Stegostoma tigrinum: one gene and its partner. The main gene of each other region encodes a partner of the protein of the gene in region 2 in a complex. Links are inferred from orthologs where the notes say so. Each region holds a gene or a part of one and is shown on either strand. Other genes may lie near its edges.

The links. The genes of interacting proteins can lie anywhere in the genome.
Region 1: the proteins of ints11 (region 2) and wdr73 are in contact, whole or in part, in a cryo-EM structure (PDB 8R22), measured with the Homo sapiens proteins. The link is inferred for Stegostoma tigrinum from reciprocal best matches to the Homo sapiens genes INTS11 and WDR73. Residues at the interface, in NP_060341.2 of Homo sapiens: Tyr206, Thr208, Thr209, Ile210, Arg211, Asp212, Ser213, Arg215, Cys216, Arg217, Glu218, Arg219, Asp220, Leu222, Lys223, Lys224, His226, Phe255, Arg258, Met259, Leu364, Val384, Glu385, Tyr386, Ser388, Lys418, Lys419, Glu421, Phe422, Gln425; in NP_116245.2 of Homo sapiens: Asp5, Asp6, Leu8, Val9, Ser11, Leu12, Tyr15, Gln16, Phe18, Tyr19, Ala20, Phe21, Asp22, Leu23, Glu50, Leu52, Arg59, Leu68, Phe69, Pro70, Glu71, Arg72, Asp73, Phe74, Lys75, Val76, Gly79, Phe81, Asp116, Ser117.

The regions. Positions count from the first base shown.
Region 1 is NC_081359.1:111,590,539-111,598,098, reverse strand, and holds the start of wdr73 (WD repeat-containing protein 73), read left to right. Parts: upstream 1-4,544; 5' UTR 4,545-4,638; coding exon 4,639-4,802; intron 4,803-5,484; coding exon 5,485-5,552; intron 5,553-7,560. UniProt on the Homo sapiens protein: Component of a multiprotein complex required for the assembly of the RNA endonuclease module of the integrator complex. Associates with INTS9 and INTS11 in the cytoplasm, stabilizing the INTS9-INTS11 heterodimer and blocking the active site of INTS11.
Region 2 is NC_081381.1:29,356,483-29,363,755, forward strand, and holds the start of ints11 (integrator complex subunit 11), read right to left. Parts: upstream 3,017-7,273; 5' UTR 2,913-3,016; exon of another isoform or gene 2,902-2,912; intron 1,330-2,901; 5' UTR 1,246-1,329; coding exon 1,218-1,245; intron 1,105-1,217; coding exon 1,007-1,104; intron 1-1,006. Other genes in the region: cptp (ceramide-1-phosphate transfer protein), read left to right, coding at 3,103-3,221, 6,635-7,157.

The DNA.
Region 1 (7,560 bases), on a different chromosome or scaffold from region 2:
TCCCACACGCCCTCCCCTTCCCACACGCCCTCCCATTCCTACTCCCCCTCCCCCTCTCCTGCCCTCTCCCTCCCACTCTCACTCCCCATCCTGCTTTCACTATCCCTCCCCCTCCCACTCTCACTCCCACTCCCACCATCTCCCACTCCACCTCCCACTCCCACTATCCCTCCCACTCCCACTCCGCTCCCCCTCCCATTCGCCCTCTCCCTCCCGCTCCCACACCCCCTCACCCCCTCACCCCCTCACCCCCTCACACTCCCCCTCCCTGGGTGACATGTCCATCCTGGGCCTCCTCCAGTGTCACAATGATACCATCCACAAACTGCAGGAGCAGCACCTCATATTCCACCTGGGATCCTACAGCCCGATGGCCTAAATGTAGCATTTACCAGTTTCAAAATCTCCCCACACCCCGGCCTCATCCGGTTTCCAACCCTCCCTCTCATTCCCGCCTCCATGACCTGACACAACCTGCCCATTTTCTTACCCACCTTCTGCCCCTCTGACCAATCCCCACCACGCCCACCTATCGCCATCTCACCTCCCTTCCCCCAGTCCAAACCCCCTCCCTCTATTTATTTCCCAGCTCCTTTACTCCTCCCAGTCCTGATGAAGGGTCCTGAGCCAAAACAGCGGCTTTCCTGCTCCTCTAACACTGCCTGGCCTGCTGTGTTCCTCCAGCTCCACACCGTGTTATCTCTGACTCCAACATCTGCAGTTCTTGCTGTCTTCAAATAATGTTGATCTTGCTTTGTGCACCTCCCGTGCAACGATAATGTTGTATACCTCATTCTAAGATCCCCACGATCTGTATGTCCTTGTTTGTTGTGATCTGCCTGTACTGCATGCAAAACAAAACTTTTCACTGTACTTAGGTACACGATTACAATAAATCAAATCAAAACAAAGGTCCTGGGGAAAAGACCTTGGCTATTCACCCTATCCATGCCCCTCATAATTTTATAAACCTCTATAAAATCACTCCTTCAATCTCCGATGCTCCGGGGAAAATAGCCCCAGCCTATTCAGCCTCTCCCTGTAGCTCAAAGCATCCAACCTTGGCAACATCCCTGTATATCTTTTCTGCATCCCTTCAAGTTAACAATATTTTTCCTATAGCAGGGAGATGAGAACTTAATGCGATATTCTAAAAGTGGCCTCACCAATATCCTGTACAGCCACAACATGACCCTCCCAACCCCTATACTCAATGCACTGACCAATAAAGGCAGACATACCAAACACCTTCACTATCCTGTCTACCTGCGACTCCACTTTCAAGAAACTATGAACCTGCACTCCAAGGTCTCTTTGTTCAGCCACACTCTCCAGGAAGTTACCATGAAGTGTATAAGCCCTGCCCTGATTTGCCTTTCCTAAATGCAGCACCTCACATTTATCTAAATTAAACTCCATCTGCCACTCCTCAGCCCTTTGGCCCATCTGATCCAGATCCTGCTTGATTGACTTGTTTGGTTTGACTGGGCTTGTAATTGCTGGAGTTTAGAAGGATGAGAGAGGGATCTGATTGAAACATATAAATGCCAGTAGGGCTGGACAGACTAGATGCAGGGAGGGTGTGTTCCCTCCATGGGGGAGTGTAGACCCAGGGGACACAGTCTCAGGGTACAGGGCAGACCATTTAGGACTGCGATGAGGAATGATTTCTTCACTCGGGGGGAATGACCCTGTGGAATTCTCCACAATAGAAAGCTGTAGAGGTCAAGTTACTGAATATATTCAAGAAAGAGATAGGCGAATTTCTAGAGTTTTTTGTCATCAAGGCATATGGAGAGAAAGTGAGAATGTGACAGTGAGATGGAGGATTATCCATGAGCATATTGAATGGTAGAATAGGCTGAAAGGGCCAAACGGCCTACTCCTGCTCCTATTTTCTACGTCTCTATTAGTGTAGATGTATAAATTCAATCACTAAAATAGCCATTGTCTCCTCTTTGTCCTGCTATCCATATTAAAATATCCTATCACCATGTTTCTTTAATGAACTGATGGAGCATCGTTTATTAGAAATCAAACCATTTAAAACAAGTGGTAAATTGATAATATCAAAGTTATAATCTAGAATTAGAACTATGTCCCTTCTAATCCCAAAAACAAGCCCTCACTCACACACAGGACAACACTGATTCTGCAGGAAAATGTTATTAAATAACCAAAAGGAAAATGTGCCTCCACTAACCAATAAGAATAGAGATTGATGAATTCTCACAATCCGTCAAGCTTCCTGTTAATAAAATTGATTTAATAATTGTGTACCAATGGAAGATTGTCGAAATAAAGCTTCATTTTGTTTGGGAAAGAAGCTGGATCTAGCTCTTCATTTAGTTGTCATAGATCAGCTTTCCAAGGTTTGCAAGGTAGTCAAAAAATCTTGGATTCTCCAGCATCTGCAGTTCCCATTATCTCTGATACAAAAAGATGCTCATGTTAGCTTTGTCACATTCCCAATTTTCAGCCAGGGGAAAGAATGGAAGAGAAGGAGAGAGATCTTCCTGCCTTCCTGTTCTCTGCTCTGCTTCCTTTTTCTTTCTGACTCTCCAGAGATGTTTGAAGCTGAAGCCAAACCCCACCTGGGATGTTGACAGTCATTAGCACATTAGCACAGTCACCTCCAAAGACAAATGGTCCAGCAATTAAAAGCAACAGTCTTTTTCTTACTCCATAAAGTGTCCAAACAGCTCCTAATCTTCCAGCTCTTCATACACCCCGTAAATATAAATATAAAAATAGGGTGGTTTTGCTAAAACTGCACAAGGTGCTAGTCAGATCACAGTTGGAATACTGTGAACAGTTTTGGGCCCTTTATCTGAGGAAAGATACACTGACACTGGAGACAGTCCAGAGAAAGTTCCCTGGACCGATGTTGGGGTGGAAGGTCTTTCTTATGTGGAGGGGATGAGCAGATTGCACGCATTGGAATACAGAAAAATGACAGACAACTTCAGTGAAACAGATAAGATCCTTAGGGGAATTGGCAGGGTAGGTGCAGAAAGGAGGGTCTAGGACCAGAGGGCATAATCTCAGAATAAACAGCTTCACATTTAGTACAGCGGTGAAGAGGAATTTCCTTTCTCAGAGGGTTGTGAGTCTGTACGATTCTTTATTGCAGAGAGCTGTTGAGGCTGGGTCATTCAGTATATTGAAGGCTGAGACAGACACACTTTTAATCAGGAAGGGAACTGAAAGTTATAGGGAAAATGCAGGAAAGGAATTGAGCTCAGCCATGATTTCATTGAATGGCAGAGCAGACTAAACGGGCTGAATGGCCTGCTTTTGCTCCCACGTCTTACAGCGTTTTTATAATGATATATTCCAGTCCTCAGCACACTTCCTTATCTGATCACGATCCCTCTGTAATTTTTGCTAACCTTCCTCACTGTCAATGATACCTCCCAATTTTGTTACATCTGCAAACTTATTCATCATGCCTTGTACATTCAAATCGAGATCATTGATGTAAATAACAAATAACAAAGGTCCCAGCACTGACCTCTGGGGCACACCACTAGACACAGGCCTCCAGCCTGAGGAACAAACTTCAGCCCTCACCCTCTGCCAATTTTGAGTCTGAGGAAGGGTCACCAGACCCGAAACGTTAACTCTGTTTTCTCCTCCACAGATGTTGCCGGACCTGCTGAGCTTTTCCAGCAACTTTGTTTTTGTTCCAATTTTGAGTCCACTTAGCTACCTCTCCCTGGATCCCATGAGGCCTAACCCTCATCGCTAGCCTGCCATGCATGACCTTGTCTAACCAAGCTCTCCAGGGCCCAGCCCTGAGGTGCCATATAAATGCAAATCTGGCTATTTTCGGTGAGTAGCACCTGTTTTCAGGTCTGGGCATTGGAAATACAATGAGGATAAGCATATGGACGTACATGGAATAGTGTAGGTTAGATGGGCTTGAGATCGGTATGACAGGTCGGCACAACATTGAGGGCCGAAGGGCCTGTACTGTGCTGTAATGTTCTATGTTCTAACACGTTGAAGTTTATAGGGGGCGAAAGTAAAAGTCAGGTTCCGCCGAGATTTGAACTCGGATCGCTGGATTCAGAGTCCAGAGTGCTAACCATTACACCACGGAACCAGGCCTGCTCTGGCTGCCGCTGGGAGGCGTATTTCAGGAAATCAGCCCGCCTTCCCCACCCGCCTTAGCAACAGCGATTTTATTGGTCAGTGCCCACAGGTGCATGGGAAGCCCTCAGAGACGGAGAAATAATTATACAGGAGTTCTCCGAGAAATTCGTTTGTGATTGATGTGAGAATAGTCCCAGTATCGGAATAAATAAAAGTAATTTGGTAAAAAATCAAACCAGGAAGTGATGTAACCAAAAGGTGTAAACTTCCACCTCAACCGCCGAGTTATTTCCCTGCCTGAACAGTTTATTTAAAATCTAATTATCATTTTAGACATTGGAGGCTGACGGGAGAAGGTTATTTTCCTTAAACAAATATATAAATAAATAAAGCGTTCACTGGCGCTTCGGAATTGCTGTGATGTCATATCCCCTCCCGAGCTGTCCCAGAAACAGTCGAAAGTCGAATGGGTTTCATTTCTTTTGCCGAGGGCTTCAATTTGAAGAAGGTTCCGCTCCTTCTCGTGCGAAAAATAATTAGATGGGAATTTTCTTCATGGAAGAAGGCGGGAATCGATGTGGAACTGACGCAAACGCCGTGGGCGGGGATTCCAACGCCGGAAGTGACAGTTGCCTTGGAGACGCCAAGATGGCGGCGGAGGAGGAGAGCGAGTGGGATGTTTGGATGTTGGAATCTCTGAGACTGTGAGTGCGATGGTGCCCGGGACCAGGCGGTTGGCACCTGCTCTTGGACCGATCGCTTTGTCTCCCTGACCGTTTGGGATTCTGTAGGACACCCCCTGAAACGTTAAAGTTTCTGTCTTTAGGTTCCACCCATCCTCCCTCACTGCAGTAACTGATTCCTGGGTCAGTTTTACAACGCCGTCTGCTCCCTTCTCGCCGAAAGATTTTATACCATCGAGCTGCCAGGCCCTCCCTCGAACTTCTTCGTGATTGCAATGATGTTTGAGTTGGTGCGATTAATGGGTCACTGGGATGGACAGTATCAGGGAAATAGGGGTGTTCTGAAAGGTCTTGTGCTGTCTGTCTGGTCCCTGGCATGAGGGAGCACCTCAAGTCATCTGCCTCCGTCTCCCGCTGATGTTCACAAGTCGCTCTGTGGTGTCGAGATAGCAGATTATATAGTGGCATTGCCTCGAGTTAAACCAGGATCGTGGGATGATGTTGTGAAAGGAAATGATGGTTTTAGATGCTTATTCTGTCTTAGACTGATCATTTTGATCACTTTTCCATATGTATTTCAGTGTCACATTTTATCTGTTATTTACTCTTCTGGAGCGGTTTGTTTTATATATTAAATATAAGTTGCGATTGAAGTGATTATTTGAAGTGTATTACATTACGATACTCTGTCTGTTTCTATTAGGTACAATGACCTTCATGTGTTTGAGCTTCAGGAACCAACACGAGTTATAGAATGGATTCAGGATAGAAGTATGTTGGATTGTGTCTTTCTCTGTCTGGGTGTGTTTATATAACAGTCCATTTTCAAAAACATTTGATCTTCACTGAGGTTTGAAAGAGTTAAATTACAGAAATTGAATAGAGGAACTAGGTTTGTATTCCTCTGATTTAGAAGATGACTGATGATTAATCAAAGTGTTTAAGGTGACTTAAGGATTTGATAAATTTGATGTAGCAAAATTTATTTTCGTTGGTGAGAGTCCAGACTAAAGAAATATTAGAATTTTTAAAAGAAGAATTAGTGTTAACTCAAAATGTTAACTCTATTTCACTTTCTGCAGATGCTACCAGACTACCTGAGTTTCTCCAGCACAGTCTGTTTTAATTTCAGGTCTCACGCATTCGCAGTATGTGGAGATTTTTTTACTTCTGATTGTGGTAGGAAACAGGAAAAGAACTGTTTTAGCGGCCAGTGTAAACTTCTGTGGTTCCACGCAAACCTACAGCATTGTGTGGAACCACAGAACCACATAAGCGTTATTTGCTTATGCTTCACAGAGAGAACATCATGTTCAAAATAAAAAAAAATCTACCAGAAGCAAATTATCATCAATCAATGCAGCTTTGCCTGGGAGCAGACTTTTCCAGTAATAAAAACAACTGGGATCATAACAAGGACCTGAGTGACATCTTGTTCCTGAGTATTATGATCCAAGTGTTTGGTTGTACCTCCTGATATCAACAGGGAAAAAACGGGGTAGATAAAGAGAAACTATTTCCCCTGATTGGGGATTCTAGAACTAGGGCCAGACTGTTCAGGAGAGATGTTAACAAGAGCTTCCACATGAAGGGTGGTAGAGGTTGGAACCCTTTAACAAATGGAGCTGCTGCAAGATCATTGTTAATTTTAAATCTGAGGTAGATACCATTTTGATTAAGTAATGTATTCAGGGATATCAGACAAAGGCAGGTATGTGGAGGTAGACTGCAGATCAGCCATTGTCTTAACGAATGGTGGAACAGGCTAAAGGGGCTGAATGACCTACTTTTGGTCCTGTGTTCCGGATCACATGGAATATAGGGAGAACTAGCCACGTGGATACATAACTAGCTTGAAGGTAGGAGACAGAGGGTGATGCTGGAGGGTTGCTTTTCACACTGGAGATCTGTGACTAGCTTTGTGCAGCAAGGATTGGTGCTGGGTCAACTGCTTCTCAGCATTTATGTAAATGATTTGGATATGAATGTAGGAGGTATGGTTAGTAAGTTTGCAGTTAACACCAAAACTGGCATAGTGCACAGTGAGGAAGGCTACCACAGAGTACCAGGGGATTTTGACCACATGGGCTGAGGAATGACAGATGGAGTTTAATTTCGATACATTTGAGGTGCTGCATTTTGGGAAGGCAAATCAAGGCAGAACTTGTACACTTAATGGTAGGGTCCTGGGGCGTGTTGCCAATCAGAGACCTTGGAGTGTAGGTTCATAGTTCCTTGAAAGTGGAGTTGCAGGTAGACAGGATAGTGAAGAAGGTGTTTGGTATGTTTGCCTTTATTGGTCAGTGCATTGAGTATCGGAGTTGGGAGGCCATGTTGTGGCTTTATAGGACATTGGTGAGGCCACTTTTTTAGAATACTGTGTTCAATTCTCGTCAAGAGATATTGTGAAACTTAAAAGGGTTCAGAAAAGACTTACAAGGATGTTGTCAGGTTTGGAGGGTTTGAGCTATAGGGAGAGGCTGATTAGACTGGAGCTATTTTCCCTGGAGCGTTGGGGGCTGACCATTTAGAGGTTTATAAAAGCATGAGGGGCATGGATAGCGTGAACAGCCAAGGCCTTTTCCCCTAGGGTAGGGGAGTCCAAAACTAGAGATTTAAGGTGAGAGAGTTAAGATTTAAAAGGGAACTAAGGGGCAATTTTTTCATGCAGAGGGTGGTGTGTGTGTGTGTGTGTGTCTGATACAATAACAACATTTAAAAGGCATCTGCGTGGGTTTATGAAAGGAAGGGTTTAGCAGGATATGGGCCAAATGCTCGC
Region 2 (7,273 bases):
ACTTCCCAGTTGCGAACCGTTGCAACTCCCCCTCCCATTTCTCAGATGACATGTCCATCCTGGGCCTCCTGAAGTGCCATAACAATGCTATGTGAAGGTTGCAGGAACAGCAACTCATATTCTGCTTGAGAACCCTGCAGCCCAATGGTATCAATGTGGACTTCACAAACTTCAAGATCTCCCCTCCCCCTACTCCATCCCTAAACCAGCCCAGCTCGTCCCCGCCTCCAACCTATCCCCTCTCCCATTTCAAGCCCCACCCCCATCTCCTACCTACTAACCTCATTCCGCCTCCTTGACTCGTCCATCCTCCCTGGACTGACCTATCTCCTCCCTCCCTCCCTCCCCACCTACATTCACCTTTACTGGCTCCATCCCTGCCTCTTTGACCTGTCTGTCTCCTCTCCACCTATCTTCTCCTCTATCCATCTTCTATCCGCCTCCCCCCTCTCCTTATTTATTTCAGAACCCCCTTCCCCTTCCCCATTTCTGAAGAAGGGTCTAGGTCCGAAACGTCAGCCTTCTTGCTCCTCTGATGCTGCTTGGCCTGCTGTGTTCATCCAGCTCTACACCTTGTTATCTCAGATTCTCCAGCATCTGCAGTTCCTACTATCTGTGACTCCTGTTGTATTTGGTTTATTCATATACTATTTAGACCCAACAGCAAGAGTACAGAAACTATGGACCTTTCCTGGGTCACGGTGACAATCAATGCTTGTAGTGATAACTACAGTGGTTAATAAACCTACAACCTACTCCTGTTATGGTGATGGCTCTACCTCCAGTGATATGTGACACCGAAAACTGGGAACACTTCAACACCTGTACTAAGTCAGCAATGACCAACAATCACTGGGTCCACGTCCATTGAAGGAAACACGGATACACAAAAATTGACAAATGAACCATGTAAACTCAAACTGTAAAACACTGGCCAGATATCTCTTTATTTCACAAGCCTGTGTTTTCCTGTATTTTCTACCATTCGATTGTTCCATATACTTACATCATCATTATATCCCATGTGCATTCCACAATCCAGCATCACGTTTTTCCCACCAATTGAGACCAGGATACAACTGCGGCCCACATCCTGGCCAGCCCCTGAAAAAGCAAGGACTCATCATTCTGCAAGTTTTCTAAGTTCTTACTAACAATCATATCTAATAATGCTGCTCCTTGTTATTCTAGAGACAGCTGAATATTTGAATTCTTACCTAAAGGTGTGACCTTTATTTCTGGCATTTGCAATCAGATTTCACTGCAACTTGTGGTTCCAAGAATGTACTGATGAAATCAGTTAGTCATCTTAAATTCAGCAAAATGGATCTGATAAATTTAAAGCAGACTGTATCAGTAACAAAATCTCAGGAGATTTCAAGGCCCAGCAGTTTGGTCTCTCCTATGTAAGGGTAAGAAATGAGAGAAGAAGTGAGAGTATCATTGTGCAACAGGGAGACAGTGGTATGTACTGTGTGTTAAAGTCTAGAGGCGTGAACTTCACCTCCAAGTCACTGACAGAACTTTACAACCATTTTTTTCAACAGCTATATCCTAATATAAAATGTCATTTTCAAATACTGAAAGCAAGAACCTAAGAAATGGGAACAGGAGTAAGCTATTCGTACCCTCAATCCCATCCTGCTACTCAATAAAATCATGGCTTGGTGTGCGCTAATCCTCAGCTCCTCTCTTGTACCTGCTCCTCAGAGTTCTCAGCTCCTTGATATTTTAAAACTCTATTTACCTTCTCTTCAAATACTTTCAGTGATCTAGGCTACACAACTCTCTGGGATATTGAATTCCAGGCATTCACTATCTTCTGGGGGAAGAAATGCCTTGACATTGTTCAATTAATCTTTAAACAGTTAGTTTTAACCTCAACAGCCTGTCATGCCAGTTCTGCGCTATTTACGCCTTAAAATTTTTAAGAATTTTAAAAATCTCTGTGAAATCTCTAACTAAGTTTCCTTATTTCAGTGAAGAAAGATTCAATTTTTGAGCATATGGTCACAATTTTATTCCTGCTACAATGATCTGTGAAGAATCTTGAGGTATGTTTCAAAGAGAAAGTTACTACATAAATGGAATATTTCTTATCATTGTACCATGATTTGAACAAATTAACTTTGTTTTTATACTCAATGTCTGAGTGTACAAAGCCCTGAAACCCATCGACTCTTACAGCCTCTTGAATGCACATGTCCACCTACTAATGAAGATCTTCATAAAATCAACAGGTATACACTAGTCATTACTGGACAAAACAATTCCAGAGACTTGCACTAACAATTCAGAGAACAGGAATCAATAGCCCACTAAGAGAGCTTGAAAAATTTTAAGTGCATGCAAAGGATAATTAAAATACAAAAAACTGCTGTTGGTAACATTAAAGGTAACAAAGAAGCAGCCAGACTGTTGGAAAAAAAACTGTTTCACCACTATGCCCTCCACTAACAATTCAGTCATCTACTGCCTTTAAAATTGAATTATTCAAAAATTTGAATTCAGCAACATACGTCCCATTAAAAAAAACTGGGAACTATTTTTAAAAACTGTCAAATTTAATGGAATAGATTGTACACAACACTGGTTTACAGTGAGCTTTGCTGAGGAGCAGCAAAATTCCAGACAGTGACAATGAACAGGACAGCAAGCCAGTTGCGGCCTCCTTCACTGATTTAAACAAAAAAAAATCACACTTAAAGTCTCCAGGTTAACATTCATACGTTGCAATTTTAAAAATACAACTCAATTTATTATCACTTTCCCGTCGCATAATGATGGCGACGGGTTTTTAAATACACAAGGAGCCCTCTCAATTACAGCGATTCCCGTCCTACTCCTTTCCCTTTCCCCTAAACGCTGTTGTCACAAACCGGGCAGAAACAACACGCTAACCTCAGGCCTACCTCGGGCGACAGCAAGGCCGAGCAGGCCCTCGTTTCCAGGACACCCAGCACACCCACCCGACTGACAAGAGCAACGGCCAATGAGATGCTCGATCCAGGTGGGCTGGTGCTGAGGTGGGACTTCCGGCCGGGGACAGCCGCGCTGTGATTGGTCAATAAAACACCCTACTCCTTCGCTTCAGTTTCTAAAATGGCTCATCCAGATCGGTTCAGTCTGACTGAGGTCCTGGGGTCTTTCAAAGAATGTCTGACTGACAACGGAGAAATCCTGCAGGAACATTACTTAGAAGGATGGAAAGGACTGGTAAAGTGAGTGACTTTCAAAAAAAAATCCTTTCGCTCTATTGCTAACAGAACTTATGGAGACTGCAGACAGATGTGGAGAAGTTGAATTTTTCAATAAATATCTGGCAGATGGAATGTAATCTGGGAAAACGTGATGTTAATTTAGGAAGAACAAACGAAGAATGCCACCTAAGTGGAACGTATTTCTGAGGTGCAGAGGAGTTTTGATATTCTGGTGCACGAATCGCAAAAAAAACTTAGAATGTAGGTGCATCAACTAGTTAAGATGTTAATGGAATGTTATCCTTTATTCTGTGAGGAACAGAAGTAAGGATGTTATACTTGAAATTTTTAGCACATTGATGAGACCACATCTTGCAAAATTGTGGATGTAAGTGGGGTGGAGATGGTTCAGAGGAGGCTTAGAATCTGAATGCCTATAATGCAGATAGAGGCTGGAATCAAGCCCCGTCTCTGGCAGTGTGAGGCAGCAGTGCTAGATAATAAAGTGTGGGGCTGGGTGAACACACCAGGCCAAGCAGCATCTTAAGAGCACAAAAGCTGATGTCTAGGCCCGAAATGTCAGCTTTTGTGCTCCTAAGATGTTGCTTGGCCTGGTGTGTTCATCCAGCCCCACACTGTTATCTTGGATTCTCCAGCATCTGCCGTTCCCATTATCTCTAATCACTGTGCCACCCCAGTTTACAATTGTGTACTGGATTGATACCAGGAAAGTGTGCATCCTCCTCTGAGGAATGGTTGGACACACTGCTCATGTTTTCACGTGTTTAGAAGAGTCATGGGTGACTTGATTGAAATATAAGATCCTTCTTTTCACAAACTTGTGGTGCAATCGTGTCCCTTACTCTAGCTCAAATGGTTTTGGTTTCAGGTTCAAGTCCTACTTGTCCCAAAGATTTGTCATAACCTGTCCAAACAGGTTGATTAAAATATAAATAAGATCTTGACAGGATGGATATGGAAAAGATATTTTCTCTTCTAGGTGAGTCCAGAACTAGCTTGTGTTAATTAATGACTATACTGAAGCAGTGTTTAAAAACTAGGAGTTTTTTTAGGTTTCTTTTCTTTGAGAGTTGTGTAACCTTGGAACACCTTGACTCAGAGGGATGGCGGCAATGTCCTTGTGTATTTTTTAGGGTGGAGATAGTAAGTAATGTTTTTTTATTGTTAGGCAAGCAAATCAAAGGTTATTGGGAGTAGATGTGAATGTGGCATTCAAAACATGAACAGATCAACCATGATTTTATTGAATTTTGAAACTAAATAGAAAGGCTGAGTAGCCTCCTTCTGTTCCTAATTTGGATTTTTGTATAATCGATTTACTTAGTGTGAGGGGCCAAATCTGTTTTCACAAAATTAATCTGGGGAAAATGAGAATGAGAGCTATTTCTTTTTGCGATGCTGTATGGCGAGCATCACCTTGTTGTAAATTGTTCACTTGACCAATATACTGCATTAATGATAACCTTTTATAGATTGTGTATGTGAAACCATTATCTCCCAACCTACCAAAAGCAAAAATATTGGCATTATCTGGAATTGTAGAGTGCCTCTTGCTTCAGAAAAGAACAACTTAAGGTTTTAGGCTGTTATCCTTCTCCCAAAACATTGGCCTAGCTTTCATGCTGAGTAACATAGCAAGAATATTTGGTGATGTCAAAGAATGCTGCCTACAAAGATGTAGCACTCTCCATGGCATGTTTCTTCTTTCCTAATGTATCAGACATTAAGTCAAAGGAAATCTTGGTGTGCAGCAGCAGCAATGTTGTAAATAAGCAGGATAGGCAAACAACTGCCTTGAAGGATTTATCAATTGCAAACAAGGTCACTAAAGCTGTTAAAATATCTTGTTGTAAAATACATGATTAGATTTAAATACATTTTATTTTAAATATGTAGAACTCTTGATAGTAAAGATGAAATTTGACAATTTGCAAACATAAAATTAGCTTTTCAGGACCAGTCTTTAGTATTCTGTAGTTGTTATTTTGCCATTAAGATCCAAACACATCTTGGTCAATAAAGTGTAACTTTTTCTCAAGGGATTTTTACAATGAGTGAGATGAGACCAGAATAAAAAGTTCACGTCACTTCTTTGGTGTTTTGCCAGCGACTGCAGTCGAGGGGTGAGTCCTCACAGTGCACTTTCTGGAAAAAAAAAATATAGCATCACTGAAATAACTTCTGTTTTTCTAAATGAATTTGTGCATTTCCAGACTCCTGAAGTTGCTTTTGGTATAATTAAGTAAAGGCAGCACTTGCTGTCGGGTTCACTCATGTTACCATGGTAATATCTGAGCCAATAACTTCTAATGCATTCCCAAATCTGCTATTTTACTTGTATTTTATTTCATTCTAAGAAACACAAGTGAATTCTATTCAGAGATGCCCTAATCCTTTTAAATTGAGGTTTTACTTAATGGTACTTTCAGTTTTCAGTGAATTGAGTTGTGATGCTCAATGATCAGTGCTTGCACTTCACTGACATTGTAGATCAACAGATATTGGTAACATTTTCCATTTCTCCACAATAATAGAGTATATGTTCAAACAGGTGCCTTTCTAACACACAACTGGAAGTTTTAAACCCAAATTTTGTGTTCTGTCAACTTTCCACTTTATTATTAAAGCAAAATATCACTGATGCTGGAAATGAGAAATAAAAAGCATTCAAGAAACTTGGCAGGTTTGGCAGCATCAGTGGAGACAAGAACAGAGTTAATGTTTTGAATCTGATATGGCCCTTTAGAAGATTCTTTATACCATGTATTGTGGTAAACTTATTGTCAGTAGGTCACAACATCTAGAACATTAAATTTGATTTCATTTAATAGCTGCATTTGTAAGGAATATGCATGTGACCTGCTTATGTGTGAATTTCACTTGACAAATATCAGAGTAGCATTGGCATCAGTGTCTTATCAACTGATGTACATGAACATTCCTCGCCAACTTTGTGTTCCTCTCCTGAATGTATTGATTCTTGCTCATTACACTTAATGCATAGCACTGTTCATTACATCCCCTGTGCGTCTGAGGGTTCATGTCAGCAGACTGCTCAACCAATGGTAACAACATTGCTGGGCCCAGTCCCAATCTGTTGGGTGCTTCTAGCCTGGGTGTAACATGTAGCAGTCGTTCCCTCTGTAATCAACAAAGTACAGTTTCTACCATTCCCAGATCAGTGGAAAATCAGGGGTAGAAATTGAGATCTTTCACCTGCATCTTGCAAGATAAACTCCCAAAAAAGTAGCTACAATTTGAATTCTGGAAGTAGTAACCCACTTGGCAATGGAGTATTGTGGTTACTTTAAGAATATTGCTTCTCAATTTTTATTTTTAATTTTTGTTAGACCAGTAATTTACTTTTTAACTCTGTTCTAAACACTAAAATATGTCTGTTTATTACACTTTAGGTTTATGAACAGTCTGGGATCGGCCTTTTCCTTTATTTCACATGACGCTGTCACCAAAATCCAAATTCTGGAACACTACAGACGTGGTGCGAATGGTCAACAGTATCTGACGATTCAATCAATGGTGAAGTATGAAGTTGGTAACAAGCTTGTGGATCTGACAAAGCGGGGTGACCACTGGGATTCTGGCTGTCGTACACTATTGCGGCTCCATCGTGCCCTCAGGTGGCTACAGCTGTTTCTGGAGAAACTGCGAGTAGCTTCTGATGATAGCAAAACTTCTGTTCTTTGTACAGAGGCATACCAGGATTCCCTAGCTAAATATCATCCCTGGATAGTACGCAAAGCTGCAACTGTTGCCTTTTATATGCTGCCGAGCCGAGCAAACTTCTTTGAGGTTATGAATATGGGCCCAACAGAGAAGGTGGTATCTATACTGGGGGAAGCACTGCCGGTCGTTGCAAAGACTTATGACATTACAGAAGACCTGTACAGTCAATATGGCCTGCTTGATCTTCCTTAATCCTGTAGTTTGCACAAATAACCCACTTGTTTTACAGTGTTGGGTTTTTAATAGTGATATTTGCAAATACTAGCTTTGGCAATCAAAGATGGTAAAAATTACTTTAATTAATCTGA